Linked DNA regions of Astyanax mexicanus. The protein of the gene in region 1 interacts with the protein of each later gene in a pairwise test. Links are inferred from orthologs where the notes say so. Each region holds a gene or a part of one and is shown in the gene's direction. Other genes may lie near its edges. The genes, in order: zbtb8a, lnx1, kat5b and rpl9.

Evidence for each region.
Region 2: the proteins of zbtb8a (region 1) and lnx1 interact in a two-hybrid assay, tested with the Homo sapiens proteins (2 studies listed by BioGRID and IntAct). The link is inferred for Astyanax mexicanus from reciprocal best matches to the Homo sapiens genes ZBTB8A and LNX1.
Region 3: the proteins of zbtb8a (region 1) and kat5b interact in binary tests that used the Homo sapiens proteins (3 or more experiments, as listed by UniProt). The link is inferred for Astyanax mexicanus from reciprocal best matches to the Homo sapiens genes ZBTB8A and KAT5.
Region 4: the proteins of zbtb8a (region 1) and rpl9 interact in binary tests that used the Homo sapiens proteins (3 or more experiments, as listed by UniProt). The two-hybrid records come from large-scale screens. The link is inferred for Astyanax mexicanus from reciprocal best matches to the Homo sapiens genes ZBTB8A and RPL9.

Annotation. Positions count from the first base shown.
Region 1 is NC_064421.1:41,105,339-41,112,690, forward strand, and holds the start of zbtb8a (zinc finger and BTB domain-containing protein 8A), read left to right. Parts: upstream 1-4,349; 5' UTR 4,350-4,615; coding exon 4,616-4,680; intron 4,681-4,727; exon of another isoform or gene 4,728-4,980; coding exon of another isoform or gene 4,981-4,982; intron 4,983-6,863; coding exon 6,864-7,352. Other genes in the region: gale (UDP-glucose 4-epimerase), read left to right, coding at 317-394, 496-610, 2,033-2,097. UniProt on the Homo sapiens protein: May be involved in transcriptional regulation.
Region 2 is NC_064408.1:64,611,332-64,619,087, forward strand, and holds the start of lnx1 (E3 ubiquitin-protein ligase LNX), read left to right. Parts: upstream 1-4,752; 5' UTR 4,753-5,038; intron 5,039-7,756.
Region 3 is NC_064408.1:21,537,576-21,544,555, forward strand, and holds the start of kat5b (histone acetyltransferase KAT5b), read left to right. Parts: upstream 1-3,973; 5' UTR 3,974-4,062; coding exon 4,063-4,077; intron 4,078-4,191; coding exon 4,192-4,258; intron 4,259-6,208; coding exon 6,209-6,277; intron 6,278-6,385; coding exon 6,386-6,522; intron 6,523-6,760; coding exon 6,761-6,829; intron 6,830-6,980. Other genes in the region: im:7154036 (fermitin family homolog 3), read left to right, coding at 1-135. UniProt on the Homo sapiens protein: Catalytic subunit of the NuA4 histone acetyltransferase complex, a multiprotein complex involved in transcriptional activation of select genes principally by acetylation of nucleosomal histones H2A and H4.
Region 4 is NC_064432.1:20,210,616-20,217,453, reverse strand, and holds the start of rpl9 (60S ribosomal protein L9), read left to right. Parts: upstream 1-3,816; 5' UTR 3,817-3,876; intron 3,877-4,383; 5' UTR 4,384-4,384; coding exon 4,385-4,430; intron 4,431-5,213; coding exon 5,214-5,329; intron 5,330-5,413; coding exon 5,414-5,509; intron 5,510-6,138; coding exon 6,139-6,271; intron 6,272-6,705; coding exon 6,706-6,786; intron 6,787-6,838. Other genes in the region: lias (lipoyl synthase, mitochondrial), read right to left, coding at 54-210, 816-896, 1,405-1,498, 1,921-2,093, 3,035-3,127.

The DNA of each region.
Region 1 (7,352 bases):
ATCTCAGTCTCCTCTTTCAGTCTTTTTTTAGTCCATTCTTTTCGGGTCTCTTCTTTTCTTTTCTCTTCCAAACTCTTCATTATTTGTCTTCTAATTTCTCCTCTTTCAGTCTCCTCTATTTCTGCCTAATGACTTTCCATACCTTCTTTTCTGCTCTTTTATCTTCCAATATGTCAGTTTTTTCCATTCTAATCTATTCTCTTCCAGTCTCTTCTTTTTTTCAATCTCTTCTCAATTTCTGTTTCTCAATCTCTGTCTCTATGTCTTTTCTTGTGTGTTACTTACTCTTGCTCTCTCTCTCTATCTCTCTCTGCAGGTGTATAATCTGGGTACAGGAACTGGTTACTCTGTGCTGCAGATGGTGAAGGCTATGGAAAAGGCTTCTGGAAATGAGGTGTGTACATTTCAGATCCATACAGTCCATTTGTAGACATTCTGTAATCATCAAGTTAAAAGTTCCTAAATGTCTTGGGTTTGCCCTTTTTTTTGTGGCAGATTGCGTACAAGATTGCTCCCCGGAGGAACGGAGACATAGCGTCATGCTATGCAGACCCTAGCCTGGCTGAGAAGGAGCTGGGATGGAAGGCTGATTTTGGCCTGGAGAGAATGTGTACGTATAAATTCAATGGGTTTCACTCAATTTCTGTCTCTAGAGGAGTTAGTACTACATCTATTAACAAAATCATAAAACGAAATCAAGATTGCTTGCTAAAGTTATGTCTTAGGCAGATATGTAAATAATTGTAATAATGGCACTAGTAGTAAAAGTGTTTTAAATGCTGCCCTATCAAAACAGGGTGTATAAGACATGCTTTAGGTAGTGTATCTCTAGATCATTGACTGTTAGACATGTCTCTACAACACAGTCATAGACATTCTGCCCATTTAGGTGTTTTGATAAACTGAATACCGCCTACTCCACCTAGTCTAGTTTCAGCTAGCCACTGAAATCTTGTTTCCTGTTAGGGCTGCATGATATTGGAAAATTACATTGCAAAAATGTGCTTTTTTCGACTATCTCTATCGCGATATTAAACAATGCAGCGTCCATGATGTCACCAGCCCTGTCCCCACCCACGTGCTGTCCACGTGCTTCCGGAGCGATCAAGAGCTGAGTCAGTGCCGAGCTCTCAAAACCTGAGGAAAACAGCAAAATAACAGTAATCGGCCCTTTAATCAGGCAGGTAAAAGATAAATATGAGTGTTTTTCTGGGTTTAAAAGCAAGAATTCAGCTGTAACTGGAAATATCTGCGCTGCAAAACTGTGCTGGACTGAGGCGAACAGCTTTCGACACGTGCGTTTACAAGCACATACCCAACCATGTGGATGGAGGCCATGCAGTTACCCTCAAGCTTCTTAGGCAGCAGCAGCCTGTCATTTACACAGACACAGAGACGACGCTGTGTATCTACTTCTTGTGTCAAGAATCAAAACATTGCAACATGACGTGTTTGATTTAATTGCCTTAAGTGACATCGCACGTCCTGCGATGTGACTATTGCGAATGCTAACATCGCAATGACGATGCTTAAAACGATATATCATGCAGCCCTACTTGCCGTGGGACTGTGAAACGTGGACTGCTACGGAGTGGCACTGCATTGTCATTCATGGAGAATCCAAGTCCTGTGTGGTATCCAGCTGGTATTCTAGCTTCAACATCCTTAAAATGTACACGATCTACAGGCCCAACTGCAACATCTTTAGCTAAATGCGCTTCAGGATGCCATGCAGAACCTGTATTCCTACTGTATTACCCACTGTATTTTATATTGTATCTAAGCTAGCCTTCTTTTAATGGGATTGATATGGATTCTATTCAGTGGATTGTATGCATTCCCCAATAAACTTATCCTTTCTCTCTAAAATTGTAATCACTTACATATACATATATCGTCTTTACATTTACACATATAAAATTCCATTCCATTCCAACAACTCCCTATTGGAAAAAATTTGTATACTGGAAATAAATTCAGTTTTTCGTCTTGACATTTGATGATGCAATTTCCTGTTTATTTGCTCTGACAGGTGAAGACCTGTGGCGCTGGCAGTCCCAAAATCCCACAGGCTTCAGTAATGGGAATGTGGTGTGAAGCTGATGCAGAAGGAAGACTGAAGAGAAGAAGATCCTAGAGCCATGAAGTCCATTACTTTTCTACGACTTGATTTAAACTAGACGAAATCTATGAAAACAATGACACAATGAATGATTTACATTCCTTACAGTACTGTTTCTACCTGATTACTTTTAAATTATTATTAGCAAGCCTTTGTCTCTTTGACCAATCTTAGTATGTGTCTTTATTGATCCTGTATTTTCTTTATTCAAATCCATTCTTAACTTAACATTTCCAGGGCCAAGTTCATTGCATATCTTTCTGTTTGTACCTTGTCATGTTGTCAATACTGTTGATTAACTTAATTCTTTAAATAATTATAATTTAATTATTTTGGGAAACAAGGGATTGTTTTATTTTCATCTGACTATACTTCTTTTATAACTGCATTGAAGCCAAATACAAGAAGACCAAAACAGGTGCTTTTTTGCAACTCATAATAAAAGGGATTTACAAAAAAATATATATTGTATCTTGTGCATTTATAAAGCTGTGTATTTCAGCCATTACATGTGTTATGCCCACGTTTCAGCATTGGAATAACTAGTTAATTACTAATAATACGTTTGTTAACCTAACTGTGAATTCTATCCGTCGCCTAAACCCAAATTTATTATGAAAGTTGATCTGAATTACTCTAGCATTCAGCTCTTATTCAGCACATGAGCCCAGTTCAGTATTACTTCATTCAATAATTACTAATAAAATATAAAATGATGATAGCCTTGTTTTTCCTCCCACTGTCAATTTTCTCATTTTTGGCAGGGCACTTTATAGTTCATTCTCAGCACTGCAGTGATACTGACTGGCATGGTGGTGGTGTATGAGGTGTTAGTGTGTGTATGTTGGCATAAGTGGATCAGATACAGCAGTGCTGCTGGAGTTTTTAAACATCTCACTGTCACTGCTGGACAGAGAATAGTCCACCAACAGCATCCTGTTTGCACTGATGAAGGACTAAAGGATGACCATCATAAACTGTGCAGCAACAGATTCAGAGCTTCTGTCTCTAACTTTAAACCTACTAGGTGGAGCAGCTAGGTTACCCTGGTTTTACACTCTAGATCTGCACCAAGAGCTTTTAGAGCTTCTGGTACAGCTACAACAATACAATAGATAAACAAATTGCAAAAGTGTAACGTAAGAGCAACATAAATCTAAAACACCAAAATAAATCAAATAAATACAATAGATGAGACAATTTAAAAGACAAGACAGTGCAGTACCATCACGGTAAAGTTAAATGTTCTAGTGAGGATAAGGTGCAGAGGAATTTAACATGCTGTAACGTATAGAACATACATGATCACAGCAGTTACTGATGTAGAGAATTTGTGTTTTTTTGGTAGAAGCAGCAAACATTGCTGATAGGGATGAAGATACTGAGACACTGAAACACAGAGAAACATTTCAGTCTCTGTGTGCTGAGTCTTTCTGTGTGTGAAGAGTGGTGGGGGGTTTAGTTCAGATCTGTGTGTTGTGGAGTCTGACTGCCTGGTGGATGAAGCTGTTGCAGAGTCCGGTAGTAAAGGCTCGGAAGCTCCTGTATCTTCTGCCGGACGGCATCAGACTGAAGAGTACATGTGAGGGATGGGTGGGGTCGTCCATAAGCTTTGCAGATGTAGCGTGTGGTGTAGATCTCGGTGATGGAGGGGAGAGGGTCTCCGATGATCTGCTCAGCTGTCCTCACTGTCCGCTGTAGGGTCTTGCGATCTGAGATGTTGCAGTTCCCAAACCAGGCTGTAATGCAGGTGCTCAAGATGCATTCTACAGTCTTGCTATTTTAATCTCAGTGTCTTCATGAGGTAGTGTCACCTGAAATAGTTTTCTCAACGTTTTGAGGGACTAATAATAATATTATTAGTTAAAACAAATAGTGTTATCCATTGTGGGTGTATATTCTGAGCTCTAACTATTCAAACTGAATGAGTTCGATTAATTGTCAGAATTTCAACACTCTAACCAATGCCTATATTAGGCAATGTTAAATAAAGGGTGGTTAAATTTTTCTTCTGTCCACTTTAAAAGATGGGATGCAACCAAAACAATAACATTTATTCAAGGTTTTTAATACCAGGCTGTTTAATTGTTGTTTTTCCATTGTCAACATTGACAGATGTGATGCATACAAAACAACAACATTTATTAAATGTTATTTGATATCGAGGTAAGATTGGACGACTCGGACGGGTGCGGTCGGTCTCCTGCGGGAGGGTTAGAGGCGCAGAGGTCGGGTGGAGTGGCCGGGCTGGAGCGAGCGGAGAGCGGGCATGTGGAGGAGGACACTTGTGCTTTAAGTGGCTCCACAGCCCTGGCGGGCTCTCTGAACACCCACGTCAGCAAGAGCCGTGTGGGGGGCTTTATCCCCCTCACACACACACACACACACACTAACGGGTTTCGGTCTTTCGGGCTAAGCAGGAAGTGATCAGTTAAAGCTGGAGGGGGTGGGAAACAGCACCACCACTAAAACCGACCAAAGTAGCCTAAAGACATGGAGATGGTCTGCGAAAGTGGGACGAGTAGACCGTACCGGACCCCGAGCGAGCCGGGTCAGCAGTGAGTATGCTGTATGCCGCTTTGTTGGAGGAAAGGGGGCGGAAGGAAGGGGCACAGCCGCCCCGGAGTGTGAGACGGGGGAGAGGCAGAGAGAGGCAGGCAGCGGGGCCGGAGCGGACTTAGGTGGGTGGCGGGCGGAGGTCAGGCAGGAGGGAGTCAGCGGGCTAGGCGGAGCTCCGCGCACGGGGAGAGAGCACCGCGCCGCCGCTGCGCAGTGCAGGATCTCCCGCTGAAGAAGAGGGCTAACCGCGGGCTGTGGGAGCCGAGCTAAGTCCCTGAACCACCCCGGGCGTGGTTTGCATGTTAGCCCACCCTCTTTAAACCCTTAATATGGGCGTTTATTCGCTTTATTTCGTTGATAATGCTCAAAATGTTGCATTTAGTGCCGTGGACACAGTATTTTACTGTATTTTCCTGTTTAGCTGCTGCAGTTAGTAGAGAACAGGGGGAGGGAAGGAGGTCGATGGGCTCAAACATGAAGGGCTTCCAGCGGCTGCCCGTTTCCACATTATTAGCTTATTTTATGGCAAATATTCCACACATTTATCTCGTCTGTCTTATTAACTGAGGAAAAACACACACATTATGGCTAGTGAGCGTTATCCAGGTCCTGGAGGTTAGAAGCTAGTTTTAGCTCGCCTTTCAAACGGGTGTAGGCTGCTCTAATGGAGCACGGGCGGGCGTGCTCGTTTTTTTCTTTTTTTGTGGGATTGACCTCTTTTTCAACATCAATTGCGAAATATTATAGCTAATTATTAACTTATTATAATGAAATATAAATGAAAATATGTTTGTAAGATATTGGTAAAAAAAAAATAGAATATATTTTTGGTGCTTGTCTGTTCTGATTACAAGGTTTAATCATATACATTAAAATCTATAAAATAAAAGAAGATAGAGAAAAATATATATATATATATTATTTTTCTCTGATTTTTACCACCCGACCTTTTTTATTTACCTCCACCCCGATCCTAAATTCTGTTACCCGTTGGGAGAAACGGGGGTGTGTGTGTTATTTTTGTCCCCACCCATTTTAGGAATATAATTGACAGCACTAGGAGCTTATAGCAGATGCCGCACTCATGACTTTCAGTCCTGTTCTATTAGCCAATCACAGTGCATCAAGGGGGCGGGACCTGTCGCAATACAGGTGGGAAAGGAAATAACACGGGGTGCGGCTCTCTCCTCGAGAGCCAGCGCGCTTGACTGACAGACGTAACAGCCAATCAGAAAGCAGGGGTGTCTGTTTTAGCCCTTTTCCTTTCTGGATGGAACAAAGGATCTGGGAAGGGGAGAGGATGACCCAGAAATGGGCTGCTGGGGTGAATTATGATCCACGGTCTGGAGCACTTCAGTGGAAATGTTGTGGCTGAGCCGATTTGACTCTGTATACCTAGATTTTAACGTTGGTGGCTAAAAACAAGCATATACTATAATAATTATTTTTTATAATTTATTTTTTATTGTCTTTTATATTACAAGTGGGACTAGACAATAATTCAATATCAACATATATCATATATCTTAGCTTATATCAAACAGCAAAACATACTTTATCTAACCAAGGCTAGCTGCTGTGTCTATGCTAAATTTGATATCAATTATATATATTTTGGTCATTTTGCATCTGTACCTACTGTAAGATGTGGTTTCTCTATTGCTGAACTGGTCCACACCTGCTCTTTTTGTGTGGGTATGATGGTTTGTGGTAGACTTGTCACATAACATTATTATTATATGGAATATTATAAAGGCATTATCAACCTATCATAAAGTATATGAACATGACCTCAATTATTTTTGCTGATGTAGATATTGCCCATAGTTTTTTACCAAGCATGGAGATTCAATTGACATCAATGAGAAGCACCATCTACCCTTCCAAAGAGAGCATGGCCAATTATGCTTTCTTGGACTCTGGCTGCTGATGGCATGCAGCATTATTTAGAACATAAAAATATTTTATATATTGAAATTCGATGTCTGAATATTTTTTAATAATTAAAAAAGGGGACAGGATTAGTCTGTTGTCAGAGGCCTTCAGCAAGGAGTAATGTTTTTTGAAATATCGTGATATTATTTTAGGGGCATATTGTCCACCTCTAATTTCACAACATATTTCTTTAAAACCAGCTAATTTTTAATCATGCCATCTTTAACTGCATCTTTTCTTATTTCAGGCTGATCCACAAATTCACGAGTGCAGACATATCAGCCAATCACCAGTGCTGCCTCCTGAAACAGCTGGACCAACAGAGACGGAAGCAGCTCTTCTGTGACTGCAACATCCTTGTGGAGGGGCACCTTTTCCGGGCACACCGTAACGTCCTGTTCGGCAGCAGCGGCTACTTCCGCATGCTGCTCTCCCAGGGGGCCAAGAGCAGCCTGGAGCCCGTCAGTGCCTCCTTTGACGCTTTTAGCCCCGACATCTTTACCATCATCCTGGACTTTGTGTACTCTGGAAAACTGGAGCTTAACAGCACCAATATGATCGAGGTGATGTCAGCGGCCAGCTACCTGCAGATGGATGACGTCATCGCCTACTGCAAGTCCTTCATCAAATCCTCCCTGGAGATCAGCACCAAGGAGGAGGACAGCCGCTACCTGTGTTTGTCGGATGGCAGCGCTTCACGAGACGGTGGTGAGGATGGCAGTGAAGAGCCCACGGC
Region 2 (7,756 bases), on another chromosome or scaffold:
AGTGTTCATCCTCATTCACAAGTTAAGAACTCAAAACTTACACAAGTGAGTTTATTCTTAAGCCATCTCCTGTGGTAACACTTCACACATAATCAATTTACAAACAGCTGCCCCATGACTTCTGGCATTTCCATGATACAATCCAAAAATATGTTTTTTCATTTTGATTTTGATACAAAACTAAGTACCACAACATGTAACAACTTATCAAACCGATACAGGCCAGCCAGGAAGCCTTTTGAAATAAATTAAAAGCATCTGAGCTTATCACAGTTTCGATATAAAGAGCGTGTTGATATGGAGGCTGAAACTGAAACCTTTTAACATTCATTCACAAGGACATGCAGGTAGTTTCAGTGTTTATGTTTCGGGGATTTAAATAGATGCTGACTGATAATTAAATAATAAAAAGTAAAAAAAAAAAAAAGAAGTATTTATAAATTAATTTCCTACAAAAGTGAGTAAATCCCTTGTATTTTATTATGTCTTTTTATGGGACAACACTGAAGATATACTGATAGAATGTGGCCAATTCAGAATAGTAAACACTGGTGAAAAAAAGGATATACTTAATTGTACTTAAGACATATTGAGAAATGCCTCAGTATTCTGATTCAACAGATTCATGTACGTACTTAAAATATATTTAAAGTACATTAATATTATTATTATTATTATTATTATTATTATTATGCTTTCATTATGCTTTCACGCTTTGATCATACTTTTTAAAAAGTACAATATAGTGTATTAAAAATAGACTACTATGAAGCACAATGTTAGTTTAATGTAATTCAATATACTTCTAAAATACGTATTTCCAAATATGCTTTTGTACATTTTTAGAAAAGTGTGTTAAAAACAACTGTTACAGTAGTTCACTTAAAATGCAATGTAACGTAAAGTGCATGTAACTTTTTTAGAAAGTAAATTAAATTACCACTAATTTAAACAAAACTTATACAGTACAGTAATACAGTATATTAAAATATATTTTTATATACAACAAAGTATACTAGAAGTGTGCTACTTTCAAAAGACATGGCCAAGAAGCATATTAATTAATTTACTTCAAATTAAAGTTTACTTTAAAAAAGCAAATGCAGAAAGTTGCAAAACTTTTTTTAAGTAAATTTTACTCAGTTTTTTTCAGTGTACATACACAGTATGAGCTTTCTGGTTGGTGATATATTATCTGTCACTATATAAAAGATGTTGGATTGAGCTGTTTCTTGGCTTGTGGATCTGTTTCAGATACAGAACACAGCTGTTTTTCCCCTCTGCTGCAGGAACAGCATCTGAGAAGGATTCACAGTAAATATTTGAACATTACTGTAAGGATTTCATTGCTTTTATAAGACGGGGCTGACATTGGAGGATTAGTGCTGGATCACAAACCCCACTTCATCCCACCCCACAGGTATTAGATGGAGCTCAATCACTTTATAGAACGCAGTTCCATTGCTCAACAGGCTGGTGGGATTTGTGTTACCTTAGGAGACTAATTGGTACTTCTCCACCTCTGTATAAGTTGTCAGGTAATCTCTTGTGAGTAAGGCTGAACACTGGACTGGAGTTTAAGTGAGACCTAACAGTGGATGGTACATTCCATTTCTAAAGTCACCATTAAAGGCATTACCGCCCACAGTGGACAATACAGTGGACGTTAATGATCGTGACCTGCGGTGTCTGGCTGGAAATGTCCATGTAAACAGATATGCAATTAGAAACCACCTCCACATTCAATGCATGAGGCCCCACATGCATATCCCACAGCTCTTTGCAGCGTACATTAGCTTTTATGGAACATGGCGAAAGAATGGGACCTGATATTAGTTCCTGTCCCATGACATTTGTCAAGTCAGTATATTGTAGAGCATATTGGTCAATGGAAAAACTGGTGGTCGTTCATTGCTTTAGACATTTTTGACCTTAAAAAAACAGACAGGTGCATTACACTTACCGGATTTTTCACAGTATAAGGTGCACTGAATTCAATATTAATATCTATTTTCTGGTCTGTTTTCATACATAAGGTAAACTGGATTATAAGGCGCATTAAGCGACACTAGTAAGGAACAGATGTGTCACCATGTTTACCTTCTAATTCGGCAGACCTGTAAAGTTAAGCTAAGTAAACAAAACTGTAATTCCTCAAAAAAAAAGTCAATCGAGTGCTGGATGTTAATCTACACAGAATTCTCTCCTGAAAACTGTTTATTTGGGTGAGTTATGCGCATCTGTTTATTTACAGTAAACTTAGATTTCCAGATTTCTAATAAGGCTAGCCACGGTTAGCAGCTAATTCCTCTCGACAGCGCTACACTGAGGAACCCTGAGAGTTCTGGTAAGCCAGGATGATGTTAGCTAGTGGTTCATCCCATGTGGCTTGTTTTAACATGATAAAAAGAGCTAGCGCAGTTAGTGACTAATGCTAATGCTGCTCCAGCAGTGCTAGCTGGGGTTAGCAGCAGACTACATGCCTATAATACTCACCTCTGAGCGGCGAAAGAGCTAGCGCTTACCATGGTTAGCAGCTAATGCTAATGCTGCTTCAGTCTTGGTGCTGGAGAACTTTAAACTGAAACTCCTGTATAAGGCTGTACTTCAGCAGAGTGGCTTTTTACTGCTCCTTACAACCTGACTAATAAAATTCATATATAAGGTGCACCGGATTATAAGTCGCACTGATGATGTTTGGGAAAATTAAAGGATTTTAAGTGCGCCTTATGGTGCGCAAAATACGGTTGTATACATAGAAAGGGTTCTTTCTCCTGGTAGCTTTGTTCCCAGACAATGACAACAGCAGAGCTTTATTCGAGCGACACTCAGGAGTGACAAAGTTAGCACGTCATTAATACGTCATTTAGTGTCTGTCAGCATATGACACACATTTACACACACAGCTAAACACCTGATTATGTGCGTGAGAGCAAGAGGTGTCTAGTCATGAAGTGGAATAACCACTCTAAAATCAAGCTCATGAAACTTCATAATCCCTAACTGCTCTTACTGTATGCATTAGATATAGGCACTGGTTTGGTGCAAAGCGTTCATTGGAATTTGTGCAGGTTTAGCTGCTCTTTTGTCCAGTGACATGTTAAAACCTGCAGGTTTCTGAGCACAAACCTTGCTGAGAAACTGTAAAACTGGCTGTAAAATCTGTTTGTGTGCAATGGTATACCATGTAATCTTACTCACAGGAGAAATGTTTTCACTGGAGTTTTATAAGAATTATAATAAACCTGCTGAAAGTGACAATATTTAATGTAGCTGTACAACCTTAGGTCAGAAAACGTTGGGTCAATATGGGAAGTGTGATATAAAAAGCTGTGTTTCTTATATATGCTTTGCTTTTTATTTGACTGCAGACAGAATTCACCCAATATATGTTGTGTTTTTTACACTCAGCTTCATGTAATTTGGTAATATACAGTATATTCTCATTCAATGTGTTTTCTTTTTATGATTTTTTTACATTGTAAATTTAATATTTAAAGTTATACAGGAACCCATGTGGAATTAATTTGTTAAAAAAAATGTTAACCAAACCAGAACATGTTTTATAGTTTAGATTCTTCTTAGTATCACATTAAGCTTTGAGGACACTGTATTTTAATTTCAGTGTCTTTATGAGGGAGAGTCACATGAAACAGTTTTCTCAGCATCTTGAAGGAGTTTCTGAAGGTCCTGAACAACAGCTGCTGCTTTTCCTTCACTCTGTGAAGCTCCAGCTCATCCCAAATTACCAAATGTGTCCCTTAATTGTTTCCATTCAGTTCAATCTTTAGTATTGATTACGCTAAGAGACTGGATAAGCATGGTCTTAGTTTAAAATGATAATAAGAGGACTGTAGCAATCACCCTTTACATCCATATACTGCCTCTAGACTGCCCAATATGAACACCTGTAACCATGCAGATTTTAAGGTGGAATAGCTAGAATTCATTCATTTAACTAATGTCTCAATTTATTATTATTTATAACATTATAAAGCATTCAATTTATTTATTAATGTTTAATAACGTCTTAACTAGTATCAATTTATAATTCATTCAGACATTACTTTTTACACTATATTTATTAGTGTTTATTACTGTCATAAGTACTGTTATTTGTGACCCTTATTGTGTTACCAAATAAACATCACTATTTAAGGTGGAACAGAACAATCAAATAAGTAGCTGGTGAACATTAATTCTGTAATAGCTACTTAAGGTGGAATAGAAGAAACGGAAGCCAGCTTGGCTGTTTATTCTCCAGCTTTAATAGTGCAGGAATTTTGTCCAGATACTGTTAAAAAATTTAGATTTACAAAATCAGTAAATAAGCTGTTGTTAGTGTGACTGTGTGCATGTAGAGTCAGCATTTAAGGTGGAACTGAAACTTATTTAACTTGTGGGGCCCTTTGCAACATAGAGAGCCTAATGGTTTATACTTAAATAAAAGTCAAAATTACATTTTCTATACTGTCCCAACATTTAAGTTCATGCCATTTATCTTACAATGGTTTAATTACATTTGAATAGTATTACAAAGTAATAGTCAATTAAATAATTAAAGCCAATACAAAGGCCTGTTTTGTTTCTGTTACTCTTTACTCCAGTCTGTATGTGTGTGTCTGTGTGTGTCTAAGTGTGTCTATGTGTGTGTGTGTGTCTTTTTTACCGGTAGCTCCAGAGCTGGTTTGGGCAGTTCTCATGTTTACCTGCCTTCCTCTGTGGCTCCACCCCCTTGAATGGAGACTTCCTATGTCAGGTGTGTGTGAGTGTGTGAATTGTGTGGCAGCACAGGCGGACAGAAAGGCAGAAAGGCTGTGTTTTGCATACCCAGGGCACACTCTTCCTGCCACAGAGAAAAGGGAAATTGCAGTGGATTCTTCTATCTATACTGTGGAAAGGAGAAGGCGTGACGTCTTGAGATCACTCAGGGTCTCTCTTTCTCTCTCTCTCTGGGCCGGCAGTAGCCTCTAGGATTACCTGTGCAGGTGAGGTGTGGAGGACACAGCAGGAGGCGGGAGAACAAACTGAATGCGCTGTAAGTTTGATCAGCTGAAAGCTTGTGGACTTGTGAACCTTTTTGTTTCCAGCCGTCACGCTCTGTGTTCAGTAATCTATCACTTTTTAACTTTCACTCACTGCTAACTTGTGTAATGGTGCTTTCTTGCTTTATCTCTTTCTCAGACCTGTAGAAGTAAAGCGAAAGCAAAGCTTATCTTCAGTCTTATAATAAAGGTGGCAAGTGGGACATTTTGGAGCAATACCAAGATAGTTATGTAACAGTTTTAGAGATAATACAGTTTTAAAGATAATACAGTATGTGTGTGTATGCTAACAAGCCTATTTACAACCCTGTTACCTTGACGTCGAATAAAACATACCGGTACTTACACAGTATATGTTTTTACACTGTAACCTATGATAAGCTATGATAAGCTCTTTAATCGGCTGCTCTATGTCACAAAAGGTATCGAATATAGGATAAAAGAAACCACAGCACTAAAACATGACATTGAAATTTTGTATTTTTTCCTGCATGTTATACCAGAAAGTGCTGTTGCCCCCTTGGTGTCCAGCCAGCACTGTGTGCAGTTAGCTAGCTGAAGTTAAGCCACTCTGTTAGCTTTTAGCCAAGCACCCTCTCACCTTACCAGCTCCAGCTAATCTCTTTCTCTGGTCAGCCCACTGTTAGCTTTTAGCCTTATGTTATCCATATTTCCTTATTCTCTCAAACTAGTTATTGCTTTTATCCTCACAATGTTCTTGCATTGAGTTGGGAGTAGCCCTCAATTTTCTTCAAATACAGCTCTGGAAAAAAAACATTAAAAGACCACTTCAGTTTCTACATCAGTTGATTTTGCTATTTATAGGGTTATGTTTGAGTAAAATGAACATTGTGGTTTTATTCTATAAAATACGGACAACATTTCTCCCAAATAAAAAAAAAAAATTCTCATTTAGAGCATTTATTTGCAGAACATGAGAAATGGCTGAAATAAAAAAAAAATGCAGAGCTTTCAGACATTAAATAATAATAAGAAAACAAGTTCATATTCAGAACTTTTTAAGAGTTCAGAAATCAATATTTGGTGGAATAACCCTGGTTTTTAATCACAGTTTTCATGCATCTTGACATCATGTTGTTCTTCACTAGTCACACTGCTTTTGGATAACTTTATGCCACTCCTGGTGCAAAAATGTAAGCAGTTCAGTTTGGTTTGATGGCTTGTGATCATCCATCTTCCTCTTAATTATATTTCAGAGGTTTTTAATTTGAGAAAACCCCCCAAAAAATCATTTTTAAGTTACCTCTTATTTTTTTTAACAGATCTGTATATAAGCAAACCTCAAATAAGATTTGCATTTTTGTTCTTTGCACAATAACTTATTTTTTTCTATTTGTAAACAAAAAGCAACCTTTAAAGTAATGCACAAGCTTTTGTTTCACTTCACATTTAATTAATTTATTTTTAATAAATAGACTCCAACAACCTTACATGCAGCTTTTATAGTAAACAGTGTAAACAAAGGTGTAAAAATATGTCCTTTATAAGTGTCTGACAGAAACAAATGTGTATCTATTGAGATTCCCTTTTTCAACTTCTATATGTAAAGATGTAAAATCTCAATGATCCCATTTCACATGGAAATTACATTAAAAAAGTAATTCAATTAATTAAATAAATTAAATGTTATTTTATCTCACAATTAGACGAAGACGTTTTGTGTTAAAAAGAAACAAACAAACAAAAAAACAATTATAACCTTTTTAATTAGTCTTGTTTCCATATTTTCTCAAAGTAACCATTGTTATTAGCCTTAATATCATTTCACTGAAAGTACTGTGCCTTTGCTGGGGCAAAAATAAAATAAACCAATACTGTTATGTAACAGTCTATATGAACTTACTGGAACTAATTTAGTATTATAGATTTTTACAAAACTCGTATTATTTAACTATTCTGTTCCTCAAGCACCTTTAACAAATCCCTGATATATAATCCAGCTCTTCTCTCAAACCCAAAGTATAGGAATGTTCACTGGAGAAAGTGAAGGAGTGTAGATAGGAGGAAGGAAAATTGAAAAGTTGGGGGAGGGCAGAGAAAAGGGGGCATTCTGTAGGCCTATGTTAAAACACTCTTATATAACTCGCCATATGCCCTGCTATATGGTGCTTTGATGTGAACTACTTATGTGGATGCAACACCCATGGCACACTCTCATGAATTCTAATGCTCTTCATGTCCTCTATGTGTTTGAATGTGTGTATCTGAATGTGTGTATCTGGCTGTGTGTGTGTGTGTGTTTGTGTGTTACACTTATAGACACCTACTGCAAGATTATCTTCCCATACTTTAGCAAAGAGAAGCACTTCACTGGATGATTAACTGCAAAAAGATACATTCTTGTGGTAGAAAAGCACTTAATCCTTGTCTCGAAATAAAGTCAAGATACACACATTTCTGCCCAAGAGAGAGTGGAAGAGTCTACTTTAATGTTAGCTGTTCAAATCAAACATCCGGAGACGTCCGTGTTTAATCTTCTCTCCACATCTTCCAAACTCATCAGAGTGAAGGTAGAGAGAGAGTTGAGGTTGTTAGTGCTGTGGAGGCTCAGAGATCAGGCCTGTACCTGTGTAATATGAGCAGTGACGCCTGCAGCCAGAACAGTCACAATACCAGTTTGTCTGCCAGCTTTTCAGTACCTTTTCATAACTGCAGCTGTCAGAGATGTTTATGTTTCTCTGTGGCAATGT
Region 3 (6,980 bases), on another chromosome or scaffold:
GTGACAGCGGACTGTAAGATCGTGCACGAGTACATCGGCGGCTACATCTTCATGTCCACCCGGAGCCGCGAGCAAAACGACACACTGAACGAGGAGCTCTTCCACAAACTGACAGGAGGCCACGAGGCTCTCTAAGAGAAGCTCTGGATGAGACAGAAAGATTACTACCAACACAAAAATGGAGAGAGACTTGAGAAACATCAGAAAGAACTTTTTTCTGGCTTGGAAAAAGTCTCAGCCTGCCCCTGAAGGAATTTATGATCAACATTTTCAAGAGACAATAAACAATTTAGATTTTTTAAATAACAGCTAAGAAAATGAAACAGCTACATGTCAAAAATGTTGATATGCTTTACTGCAGCCCTTATAACCCAACACTATTGATTATCCACTGGATAGTCATGAGTTTTTTGGAGTAATGTGGACTAAACTGTTTCAGCTGCGTCATTACTTTTTAGAGCAAACATGAAGGTGTTGTCAGCATGCAAACATTAATAAAACCATGAAGCACTGGGTTAAGGGCCAGTGTCAAGTTGCTTTGTGTAGATCCATTCTGCTTAGCATGTTCTAATCTAATCAAAAGGTCTGTCCACAGATTTACACTGAACAACAAAGAACAGTAGGTATTTTCAATAATGTTTGACACAGATGAACCAAAACATGATGACTATTATGAAATAAATGAAGGAAATAAGATAGATTATCTTGTAACAACAAGATGGCTACAGTATGCTAGATGGAAATTTACCTGTTGGTACCTGTTACATCGGGCCCATAAAAAAAATCGACCCGATCCGCCCCATAAACTGTCATTATGAGCCCAAGCCCAAACCCAACATTTTTTAGTTTGTCCTATTATTTAAGGAAAATGTTTATCAGGAACAGCTACACATAGCGCTGCAAGTCAAAAGCGGACAAAAGTGGAACTGCTGTGTGATTATAACATTCTAACTTGTGCGATTTGTATTTGAAAAACAGTTTAATTTGTTAATTAGCTATTTAGTGATCATCACACCGTATATAAAATAAAGATCGCATTAAAAACAGATTCCTACATCACAGACTATTTTCCTAAGCCCGACCCAGCCTGAGAAAAGTGCTGGGAAATCTTGGCCTGATTTCGGTTGGGCCTCGGGTCGGGTTCGGGCAGATAATTTAAACTTTACCTGTTGGTGCTTGTTAACACTGATTCATGTGGGATAAATGGCCAAAATAAGGTGCACCATTTTTTATTAAGGGCCAGATTTTTATAACTAGATAACTAGAACAGACTAGAGTATCTTTAGAACCACAAATCATCAGCATAATGTTGGACACCAGTTTGGTGCATATCCATCTAAACTGACTAAACTGACTAATGGGCAATTGTGAAGCACGGGATCTGTTTCTTGGAGCATTGGTGTAGGCTGTAGATCATAATAATTTGTCTCTTTGCTATATGTGATATTACAAAAACGCATAACGTGCACCTGAAACATAGTCCAAAATAAGATTATGTAAATAATTGGTTTAATGTCTATTCTGTAAGCACAGCACAGTTACAGTGTTATTCATCCTGCAGCTTACTGAGAAGCTACTAAAGTGAAGGAAGTTGTGGGTTTGCACAGGAAAACCACAATTTCTGCAGTATGTCCAGGTGCAAAGAGCAGACTGCGCCCTCATGTGTGCAATTTATGAAAAGCTAGTGTGTTATGTGTGTAAAATATATTATTTTTCAAAAATGTGATTTATATTAAAGATAAAAAATATGACTCCAAACATCTGATTTAAAATTAAGTTAGATATAGGGACATTTCCTGCTGTCCACTCAAAATAAATCAAACCAGTGCCCACTCTGAATAAACCAAACCAGTGCTTCCTCTGAATGAACCAAACCAGTGCTCGCTCTTAATGAATGAAACCAGTGATTCCTCTGAATGAACCAAACCAGTGCTCGCTCTGAATGAGTGAAACCTGTGTCTTCTCTGAATGACTCAAACCAGTGCCCACTCTGAATGAATGAAACCAATTACTTCTATGAATGAATGAAACAAGTGCCCACTCTGAATTAATCAAACCAGTGCCCACTCTGAATGATAAATAAAGCCAATGTTTGCTCTGAAAGTATCCAAGTCATCCAAGGCCCGCACTATATGAATTAAAACAGGACCCACGCTGCATGAATCAAACCAGTGCCCACTCTGAATGAAGGAAGCCAATGCCAGCTCTGAATGAATCAAAGTTTACTAGGAATTATTCCAACCAATACCCGGTCTGAATGAATCCAGCCAATATACCTGCTGTGAACTAGCAAACTGTTCCAAACTAAGCAGATGCCATCCATCTGCCTCCAAACCCCTTCTGTCCTTTTTAACTTTATGCTTGGATCAGATATGTTTTATCTGAAAATGTGTGAAACATTTCACCTCCGTGCCACACTTTACTGCCAAGTAAATTATTGGGTAAGCCAGTCATTAACTATGTTTTCCTTTTCTTGGTAAATTTTCATAAAAAATGCACATTGTGTTTCCATATCTATTCCATTCTAATTTTCTTTCTTTTTGATATATCTGCCTGTTGTTTCATTACATTAGGTCTAAATTTTATAATGAATGAACCAACAGAAACACCCCAAAATTAAGCAAGAAAAAAAACTCCCTCAAACTAAGAGGAACAAACCTTGGTAGGTACCCAAACCCAGTAAGAGGAACCCATTGTCCTCTGGTTGACCTTGACAGCACAAACAAATAACATAACAAAAACAACTGTACAGAGAGATAATGGGGAGATATAGCTAATATAGAAATAGATTATTAATTGTTATGACAATAAAGTCTCCTTGAATCCTTATTATAAGTTCCAGAGCAGAGCAAAGGGCAGCAGGGCAGTGAATAGCAAGGCTCAACAGAACATGCAAAAGAGATAGAACAGAAATGCAGAAAAGAAAAGGATTTTAGAATGGTTGTGTATAAACCCTGCTGTAATTGGGACAGGCCTGTTACCAGAATGCAGGAACTGGAACCAAAAAAGGGCACCTCGAGGCAGCTCAGGACAGGATGACTAAGACAGGGTTTGTGGTTGGTGTGTGAACTGTAACAGAAATAGTTAGTTAGTTAGTTTTCTGTTTAGTTATCTAGTTTAGTTTAAGGATTTTGGTACGTAGAACCACATACGTAGAAAGGGCAACAATATAGATAACTGTGCGTTCATTATTTGGCCAATAACAGGTCATTGTTGCCCTTTCTACATATGTGTTATAACTGATTATTAATGATTTTAAGGCATTTACAACCTAATTAGTAACCATTAATAAACTAACTGTGAACCATTTATAAACCCTTTATGAAGGTAGTCTTATTTTAAAGTGGTACCAGAATTTTATACATGACCAGTCAATTTGTTATATTTATTTACTACATTTATTTTCTTCTCTGTTCAATTAAAGCTACACTACACCTGAGGGAACAGTTTATGTCTAAAAGTAATGTTAATCTTCTATACAAGCTTTATACACTTGGAACTGGGTAAATTTAACATTTCTGAACAGCTTCACAAAAGAGTTTTTTTTTTTTACATTTACTGAATGAAACATTTTTATGAACAATTCATTCAAGAGCACAACATAAAAACATACATATTTTTTTTGTTATTTCAGCCATTTCTCATTTTCTGCAAATAAATGCTCTAAATGACAATATTTTCATTTGGAATTTGAGGGAAATGTTGTTTGTAGTTTATAGAAAAAGACAACAATGTTCATTTTACTATTAATAGCAAAAATCAGAGAAACTGATTAAGAAACTGAAGTGGTCTCTTAATTTTTCAGACTTGTATTTGTACAGATTGTTTAAATGAAAGAACAGTTAAACTAAGGGGAAGGTTTGTGTCTGTAAGTACTGTTAATGGTCTATAAATGTGATTTTTTTTTAAATTCATACACTTACACAGGACCGGGTAAATGTAACATTTCTGAGCAGCTTCACAAAGCTGTTTGTCAGACATCATCTTCAACAGCTCATCCGCGTCATCACTGTAATCTCGCGCCCCGCGGACGTCTCGCGAGAGAGCGCGCTGAAGACGAAAATGGCGGACACATCGGTGAGTGGTTTATGGAGGGTCCGGTTATAGTTTTCCTCTAAACGAGCGATTACATCAGAATTACGTTGTCTCACCGAGGCTGGTTAAATACCTTAATATCTTATCTATCCACAGATGGAGATCGTGGAGGGCTGCCGTCTCCCTGTTCTCCGGAAAAATCAAGAAAATGAGGACGAGTGGCGTAAGTACCGTCCGCTCTCAGCCGCCGCCGCTAACGCTGCTAACGCGCTGTCATGGCGGAGCAGCATGTAAACAAAGAGCGGCTCCAACAACCGTGCGGCGATAAATCCGAGAATAACTCCAAAAATCAGACCGCTGAGGACATGTTTACTGAACCCGGAGTGAATTCAGTCTTTTATCTCTGCTGTCATGATCTGTTAACGTTTATTTATTAACCTAAACTGAAGGAAAGCTCCTTACTAATCTAACCAAGATAGCTAGATAACCTAGGTAACCTGTTAACTACCTGTCCTGAGGGCGTTTAGCTATAAAATAAAACACCTGAGTAAAGCATATAAAACAAGGCTAAAATTGAAGACTGTAGAACTGTACAATACCAGTCTAAAGTTTAGACACACCTTCTCATTAAATGTTTTGCTTTATTACTTTCTCTAATGTATTCTCTATAAAAATATTTTAATGTAGATTAATATCATGTCAAGTAGTTTTATTGTACATATTAAATATGTGCACGACATACAGAGGATTACAATTAGGTTACTCTTCTTCCCAAAATTACAGCAATATAAAATTATAAATATAAAAGAATGAGAGACACTAAATGTACAATACAACAAGGTCACAGATATAGACAATACTTGAGACAGGAGACAAGACAATAGTGTAGTAGTGATAGGGAATTATTAAGTAAACAAACAAAAAAAGTGTTTATCCTCTACAATCCCCTGACCTAAACCCAACTGAGATGGTTATTTAATATGAGCTGGAGCTTCACAGCTCGAAGGAAAAGCAGCAGCTATTGTTCATCACCTCCAGGAACTCATTCAAGACTTTAAAAACATATCCAGGTGACTTATCCAAGAGTGTTTAGATCTGTCCTCAAAGATAAATGTGTCTACGTAGAAAAGTAAAAATGTAGAACATGTATTCTGGTTTGTTTAACACGTTTTATTTATAGAATCATTCTGTGTGTGTTACTGTATAGCTTTAATACTATTGAATTACTAGTGCAAATTTTATTTTAGTAAAAATGTGAAATTCATATATTATATATAGTGTGTTTTATTGTTTATGATTATGGCTTACAGCAAATAAAAGTCCTGCTGGAAAATGAAAATCAGCAGATGACATATCTCCAAACCATCACTGATTGTGGAAACTTCAAACTAGACCTCAAGCTCAAGACAGTGTGTCTCTCCACGCTTTCTCCAGACTCTGGTCCCTTGATTTTCTGTTTACTGTTTACCCACTTTACTGATGGTCAGTGATGGTTTGGAGAGTTATGTCATCTGCTGGTGTTGGTCCACTGTGTTATATCAAGTCCAAAGTAAATGTAGTGTTTTTTAGATGCCTTAGACTTCAATATTACATTTTAAATGTAAATAAAATAAGAAAATAAAGAAAAAGAAAAGATTAAATGAGATAAGGTGTGTCTCAACTTTTGACTGGTACTACATACTAAGAATGGGCTTTATTGTTTCTCCCACTGAGCAGGCTTGAGTTTTAGGTAAAGACTGACTAACTGAGAAAGTCATTCTGTATTTAGTTGTTAAATAGAAGTTTTAAGTGTAGCTGAATAAAACTGACCTAGTGTATCCAATTGGATAGTTTCTTCTAGGTTCTAGTTTTAGTGTTTTTTTTTCTGCAAAATTATGCATTTGGAATGTAAGCAAATTCCTTTATAATTAGTAAAAGTAAAATATAAGAACCTCTCAGAACTAAAATAATTTGTCAGGTGCCATCAGTATAACCATTTCTGTTGTAGATTTCTGTTATATGGGGTTTAGAGGCATGTTTGGCCTCATCACCTCTGGTGTACAGATGGATTTAATTTTTCATTTAATCCTGGTTTCTCTTTACAAAAAGAAAAAAAAACTGCCCATAGTGGCATTACAAAATACTGTTGGAATCTTTCAGTAATGTCTGTTTTTTTATATTTTATCTTCTCTAGCACTGGCTGAAATTCTCAGTGTCAAAGATACACTTGGGAGGAAGCTTTTCTATGTTCACTACATTGACTGTAAGTACATTTCATGTTAAAGTGTGTTGCTTTCATAAAGCTACGAATTTAAACAAACGAAAAAAGTGTTTGACAGTTCAGTCACGGGCATTTGTCATTTCTTTGTAGTTAACAAGCGTCTGGATGAATGGGTCACTCCGGACAGGTTGGACATGAAAAAGCTCCAATTTCCAAAGAAGGAGGCGAAAACACCCACAAAAAATGGACTACCTGGGTCTCGACCCAGTTCACCAGAAAGAGAAGTGGTAAGAGAGACTGCACTTGCCCTCTAATGTCTACATTTAATGTTCTGGAGGCCAAATTATAGGTGTGAGCTTTGGTCCCTAGTTTTTTCCACAAAATTGTGCATTTATTCATTGAATTTTGTTTAAACTGATGCTAGAATTGAAATCTTGCCAAAAAATAAATACATATTACCATGCACAGGTGTTTAAATGACTTCTACCCATTAACTCTGTTCTCTTCCTTTCTGTTCAAATTCAGAGGAAGAGTCTAGATCTCAACGTTCAAGCTGCTTCAGCTCCTTCCAGAGGCAAAACCCTCCCCACACCGGTACAGCTAACCCTTGCCCATTCTACACCAAAAAAATACACAATTTTGAGTTACCATATTAAAAGTTGTATGAATGGGCTCACAATGACTTGTTTCTTGAAATGCCCTAATTGGATCCTCTCTGACACTTTCCGTGAAGTGGGAGGGATAT
Region 4 (6,838 bases), on another chromosome or scaffold:
ACAAGTAAATGAGTGTTTTGTGTGTGTGTGTGTCTGTGTGTACTTTGTCTCACCGTCTCTGTCCACTGAAGTGAGCACCACATAATCGAGCCCCCAGGCAGCGATGGCTTTAGCGGTGTTGTACGGCTCATCCGGATCCAGAGGAGGAGGATTTCTTGCTGTTTTTATAGAACAGAACCTGCAGCCACGAGTACAGGTATCCCCCATTAACTAGAGAGAGAGAGAGAGAGAGAGCACAGATATAATAAATCCTCATTTGCCACAGTGTGGTCTCTAGTATGAATGAATGCCATGTGAGCTGGTTTTTGTGGGGAAAAAAAGGGCTCTGGTGTTCTGGTATAACACTGCTTTAGTCCTGTGGAGGAGTGGGTGGGAGGGCCCAAAAGATTTTGGCTCTTGCTTATAAAAATTCATACATGCAAATATATCGCCTCTGACATTTTTACACTAATAACAGTCTTTGCAATGTCATATGTTATTTTACAACATGTTAATGCCCTGCTAACATGTACAACTCAGAGACACTCACTGTATTTTACAGAGGACAAGAAAAAGTGGATTTTAGCTTAAGGACACCTTTAAGTTTGACGGTTCTAGTCAGATCCCGGATACTTCCAGTGTGAACATGCTTATATTTGATTCACATTCTCTCTAATCCATATGCAAAAATATTTTTTTCCAAATCGTTAACCAAACCTTTATGCACCTGTGTGCATTTATCTCTGTATCTATTCTTCTGAATGTAATTAAAACAACAATCAGAAGCTTATAACTTGAGACACAATTTGGCTAGCTGTCCATGATAATACACTTACCATGATGGTTGCTGTAGCTGTAGCATGCTCCCCACCCCCCCAGCACTCTCCAATGTTAGGACATCTGGCCTCCTCACATACCTACAAAACACAGCAATGTTTTAATTACTAAACAAATAGAGCACTTGATATAACCTGGACATGAAGCAGTTCAGAATGTATCAGGTCAGAGTCTAAGGCTGCCCGTGTTTATATTACAAAGCTGAAGAGACTTAAATCAGATTTTTTGCATTAGTCTGACCTTAGGGGAAGTCATGTTCCAGCACACCAGAAGTAATAAAGAAGGGTTTTACCCAGTAATAAAAAAATTAACTTTAGTTAACTTTTAACTTAGTTTTTCCACATATAATCTAAACAAATTAATCCAAGTTGCTTAATACTGTGTGATTGCAATTTTCAATTTTCAGATTTTATTATAGAAACTATTTCAAATGTATTTTTTCTTCCTAATTTGTGCAGCCTACTTGAACACAGATTGGCCTCCAGATTCAGCCAATTAACATCAGCCCCAGGACTGCTGCTATCAGGTTACACTACATTAACTCTAAAAAAAAAACACAATGTTTTTTCTTTAATTTGAGATACTCACAGTGTGCAGGTTGAGATCTCGTAGAGTGTTCTTCAGTTTGTTGTAGTTTTTCCCAATAGGAATCTCAGTCTTCAGCCATGGTGGTAACCTCAGCCTGCAACATTAACCACAACACATTAAACAGTCACATTTTACAGGATTTAGTTTGAGAAAGACGTCAGTTTTAAATTTTTCTGCAGTGCCAGAGGGAAAATAATGTAAAAGTTAACGTGCAAAAATAGATGACCTGGATACATTTACCTTAGCACAGCTATTCGGATCATACATTTACCTAAGCAGTGCTATTCCAGTATACATTTACCTCAGCAGTGCAATTCTAATCATGAATTTACCTCAGTAGTGCTATTTTAATAATAAATGTACCTCAGTAGTGCTAATCAGACCCTTTCACACCACTGGACGAATACTTATTGTTGCTAAATATGCAGTGCATCAATAATCTCTACGTAGACTGAAAAGGTAACATCTTCAGCCTTTATTTCTACACAAACCAAATCACACTCTTAACACACTTACCGTTCTCCTTTCTGTCTCTTCAGGTTTCCCCTGTATTCCTCCCACCTGCCTTTCTCTGAGAGGTCTCCTGATATGAAGTCTTTCAGCTCCAGGCCGTCTTCTTTAATCTCCTTCTTTCTGTCCTGCAGTGTAGCCGATGTACTGGCTGTACTGGTCAGTCGACTGATGTGGACCTGTGACAATTTAAAATAACAGCAATTAAAATAACGTATTGTAGATTCAGATCAAAATGTGAAACTGATATATAGATGTATTACACATAGAAATTATCTATTTTAAGCATTTATTTATTTTATTTTGTTGATGATTATGGTTTATAGCCAATGAAAACCCATAAATCAGTATTTTTAATATTATATAAGACGAATTGGTACTTCAGGCAGTGTGGGCAGTGTGCCAAGTCCTGTTAGAAAATGAAATCTGCATCTACATAAAAGTTGTCAGCAGAGAGAAGCATTAAAAGCTGTAAAATTTTCCAGGAAAACACTGCACTTTAGACTTGATATAATACAGTGGATCAACACCAGCAGATAACATATCTCTCCAAACCATCACTGACCATCAGTAAATTTTGCATTTTATTTGAAAATTAGAGTCTGGAGGAAGAGTGGAGAGACACACAGTCCAAGCTGCTTGAGGTCTAGTGTGAAGTGTTCACAATCAGTGATGGTTTGGAGCGACATGTCATCTGCTGGTGTTATTGTAAATGTTATATATAATATTTTTAAAAAATATTTGAGACCTTTAAAAAAGGAAAATCTGCTGATATATTGTGATGTTATTGTGATGCCCTAATTTTATCTGCTTCTTCTGTAAACTAGTTTATTTAACCTTTGGATTATTGGCTCCAGTTAGTTAGTGAGCTACCCGAAGGAACGGTGTTCCTGTTTATTTATTAAGATTAAAGCACTGAAACACACTGTGAAGAGTTTATATACACAGTTAAAACACAGTTCTGCACATTTAAAACACAGTTCTGAAAGTTCTCAGCTTCTCCTCCGGCGGGTCACCACTGTCTCTAATCTGACCTACAGGCCCGAACCGGCCCCGGAAAGGCCCCCGGTTCCCAGGTACTGCCCCGGTCTCCACTCACACCCTCTAATAACCCACTGACCTGCTGGGACTCAGCGCAGGATCTCGGGGTAAACAGCAGCTGACAGCAGGAGAACCGCCCCGCAGCCACACAGCTCCTGTTCACCAGCGCCATGACTCCCTATGACCAGTCCTCCTCTACTGACACCATCCGCCCCTCCGCGCTCGATTACCCGTCTCGCTGCTAACGCCGCTTAGGACTTTTATTATATAACAAAATAAAAGATCTGCTGGATAAAATCTGGCTTTAGGTGCTGCCCGGTTAATTCTTTTTTTTTTTTCTTAATTTAGCCACTTTTCATTGTCTGCAAATGAATGCTCTAAATGACAGTATTTTATTTGGAATTTAGGAGAAATGTTATCTATAGTTTATAGAATAAAAAACAATATTCATTTTATTTAAACATAAATTCAGAAACTGAAGTTGTTCCATTAGGTTTGTCTTTTACACCTCTCTATTATTAAAACAAATTAGTGAATTAAATTATCTATTTGTTGTGTGTTTTTTTCTATATATGTAAATAAGAAAATAACTATTAAGAACATCTAAAAACAAATACACTCACACCTTATTTTTTATTAGAGATGTAATAAATAAAATCAGTTGACTAAGAAAGTTTTAAAGCACTTTCCAAATAGGATCAGTCGATTGAAAATAAAGTTTAGCAGTTTACCAGAAAAAAATATAAAATATTATATATAAACAAAAAGATGTGTGTGTATACATATAAAACAGGTTGTCGAAAATCGTTGGGTTCCGCTATCAGTCGGTCTGGTCTGCGCGCTCAGTGGTGATGTCAGCACGTTGGCGCTACAATTGCGTCATGACGCCGCTCCTCCTTCCTTTCCTCCTCTATCAGCGAGGTAAGAACATGGCGCTGCCTGATCCCTCGATTTCAAAATCCACTGTAATCCTCAGTAGTGGCCCCTCTCACCGCGCTACAGGCTGTATATGATATAGTTTAAGTGTCGGATGAAGAGTTAATGTGTGTATTTCTGCTCTGCGGCTCGGTTTAGTGTGGATTAACGTCCGAAGCGCCCGGCCTGACCCTGTTTATCTGTTAGCCGGTAGCCACCGCACCGTGCTGGTCGCTCGGCCTGAGGGATGGAGGCCGGGCGAGGGTCTGAGCCGCTCGTCTGAGTAATGAGGAGAGCTGAGAACTGTAAAGAGCAGGAGCAGAAGCTGTAGAGTTACAGGTGTAGTCTGTGTGGAGCTGGGCTGCTCACATACGTGTGAATAGCTAGCTGATTACTGTAGCCGGCAGTCCACTGCTAACTAGTTTGAGTCTTGTAGAGTCCTGTAGTCTGTGTTCAAGTCAAGTTTTTAAGAGTCTGAATCTTTGCTGACCCCCAGTTTGTCCTCCTCCACAGAATGAAGACCATTCTCAGTACCCAGACGGTGGACATCCCCGACAAAGGTAAGCTATAAGCTGTATTCAACTATTGACACTTATTAGTTATTAGTATACGGTAATATATTGGCTATATACAGTTTGAAACACCCCCTCATCTTAACACTGAGAATCCTGTTGGATCACTACTTATAAGACTGCAGATTTATAAGACTGGGGTTTTGGGTTCAAGTCCATGTCTGGTTGGAGTTTTCCACAGTCCAAAAACTTGGAAATCAGGTAAATTGGATACTCTAATTTAGGGGTGGGCCCTGTTGTATCATATGCTATAACATTGGCCAGATATGGCAACCTGTGCCTGATTCAGTCCTCCAGGTGGACAGTTGTTTCCGAATGAGTGTGCGCTATGTGATTGGCTGCTGCTTCTCACTTTTCAGTGTGTGATGGTTGAGTTGTGTGTAAAATGTGTTTTTTAAATGTCATTCAGTGTCAAGGTGCTATATAAATGTAATTTTGTAAATATGTGCATGCAATGTAGTTTGACTGTTTTCTTATCGTTAAAATAAAACCTCTAAAGAAATATATATGTATACATGCAGTCATTTAGAGGTTGATTCTTCCTCATGCCCTCCTGGCCAATTGTAAAAGACTGTCAAACTACTTGGGGCAAACAAAAGCAGTATTTGACCCCTGCTTCCTGCCCTAAATATGGCCACAACATGCTAAATGTACTATGTATAAAGGGATGGATTCATTTTGTATAAACAGAAGTCATGAACACAGAATTCAGTTCTCTCAACATATAGCCTGGTAACACAAACATTTATTTCTTGTCTTCTGTCCTCGTAGTTGATGTGAGCCTAAAAGGCCGCACCATCACTGTGAAGGGTCCTCGTGGAACTCTTCGCCGGGAGTTCAGCCACATTAACCTGGAGCTTCGTCTGCTCGGCAAGAAGCAGAAGAAGGTAAGGGTGATCTTGACCGAATTGACTTGTAAATATACTGAGTTCTTGTGTTGTGTTGGTGTGGCTGACTGTTTTCCTCTGTAGCTGCGTGTGGACAAATGGTGGGGTAACAGGAAGGAGCTGGCCACTGTCAGAACCATTTGCAGCCATGTTCAGAACATGATCAAGGGTGTGACCATGGTAAGAACATCAGTTTTGGATCATATCAAAGTTTTATGTTTTCTTTTATGATTCTTATTTAAATTATGTCCAAAGAGCAGTGTTTGTCTGCTGTTAAATTTTTAGTTTGTAATACGGGTGGATGGGATAGCTCAGATTTTTGCATACATTTTTTTATAATAATCTTGTTGAATATAATGTAGCAATGTTTTTTTTTGTGTGTAATGCAAGTTTCCAGCTTTTTTAAATTAAATGATAAATGTCACTATCTGCCACAAGACTGAAGTGTAGAAAATGTAGTGCTCAAACAATTTACTGTTACAATTGTTGTATAAAATTAACATTTTAAAGCGACACTACACTGTAAGCTATTTCAAAGAAAGACTTTAAAATGATGTAGCACAATGTTGTTTAGAAAGTTTCCATTTGGTTTAGAACATACATTGCATTACTCTATTTAAACTCAATAACAAACAGTTGTGTACCAGAAACAATGATAACTGTGTAGTTGTAACTTTCATTTTTTGTACATTCAGCGTATGGTCTTGTCCCAGGTCACATGACTTTAGCTAATTTGTTGATTGTGTGGGTTATTTTGTTTCAGTTGATGAAAAATGTGTAAACATTGTTTGAATGTGTGTTTTGTGTAGGGCTTCAGGTACAAGATGCGATCTGTGTATGCCCATTTCCCCATCAACGTGGTGATTCAGGAGAGTGGCTCACTGGTGGAGATCAGGAACTTCCTGGGAGAGAAGTACATTCGCCGTGTCCGCATGAGGCCAGGTACATTTGTTAGCCTGCTGGCTAACTTTTGTCTGTTAATCCCGCTATACTGAGAGGTTTCTGCTGACGAGCCACTGTTTAAAAATAAATGAAATTCCACATGGTTGGTTCTGCTCTGTTTTGATACCATCATTTTAATGTGTAATGGTTGGGCAGTGTGCTAATCCAGAATTTAATCTACAAACTGTAAAATTAATGAGTTAAATAGTCTTGATGGATAATAGCTTGACTGTTTCAGTAGCTGATCTGATTTGCTGTTGGAAAAAGATCAAGAACAATCAGTTCGATCAAAACACCCAGCTCTATTATATTGGTTCATCTTCTGATTTTTAGGATAACTGAAAAGCCAATGTCCTCTAATGCAGAGTTAAGTTTGTAGAAACTTTGCTGATCTTTAATAGCATTTTGATCTAATTGTCTGTTCTGATTTGTAGGTGTGAACTGTGCGCTCTCAGCAGCCCAGAAAGACGAGCTTGTTCTGGAGGGTAACGATATTGAGCTGGTGTCAAACTCTGGTAAGATTGGCCTTTTCTGTTTTACATGATGAAAAAAACAGGCAGTGCCAAA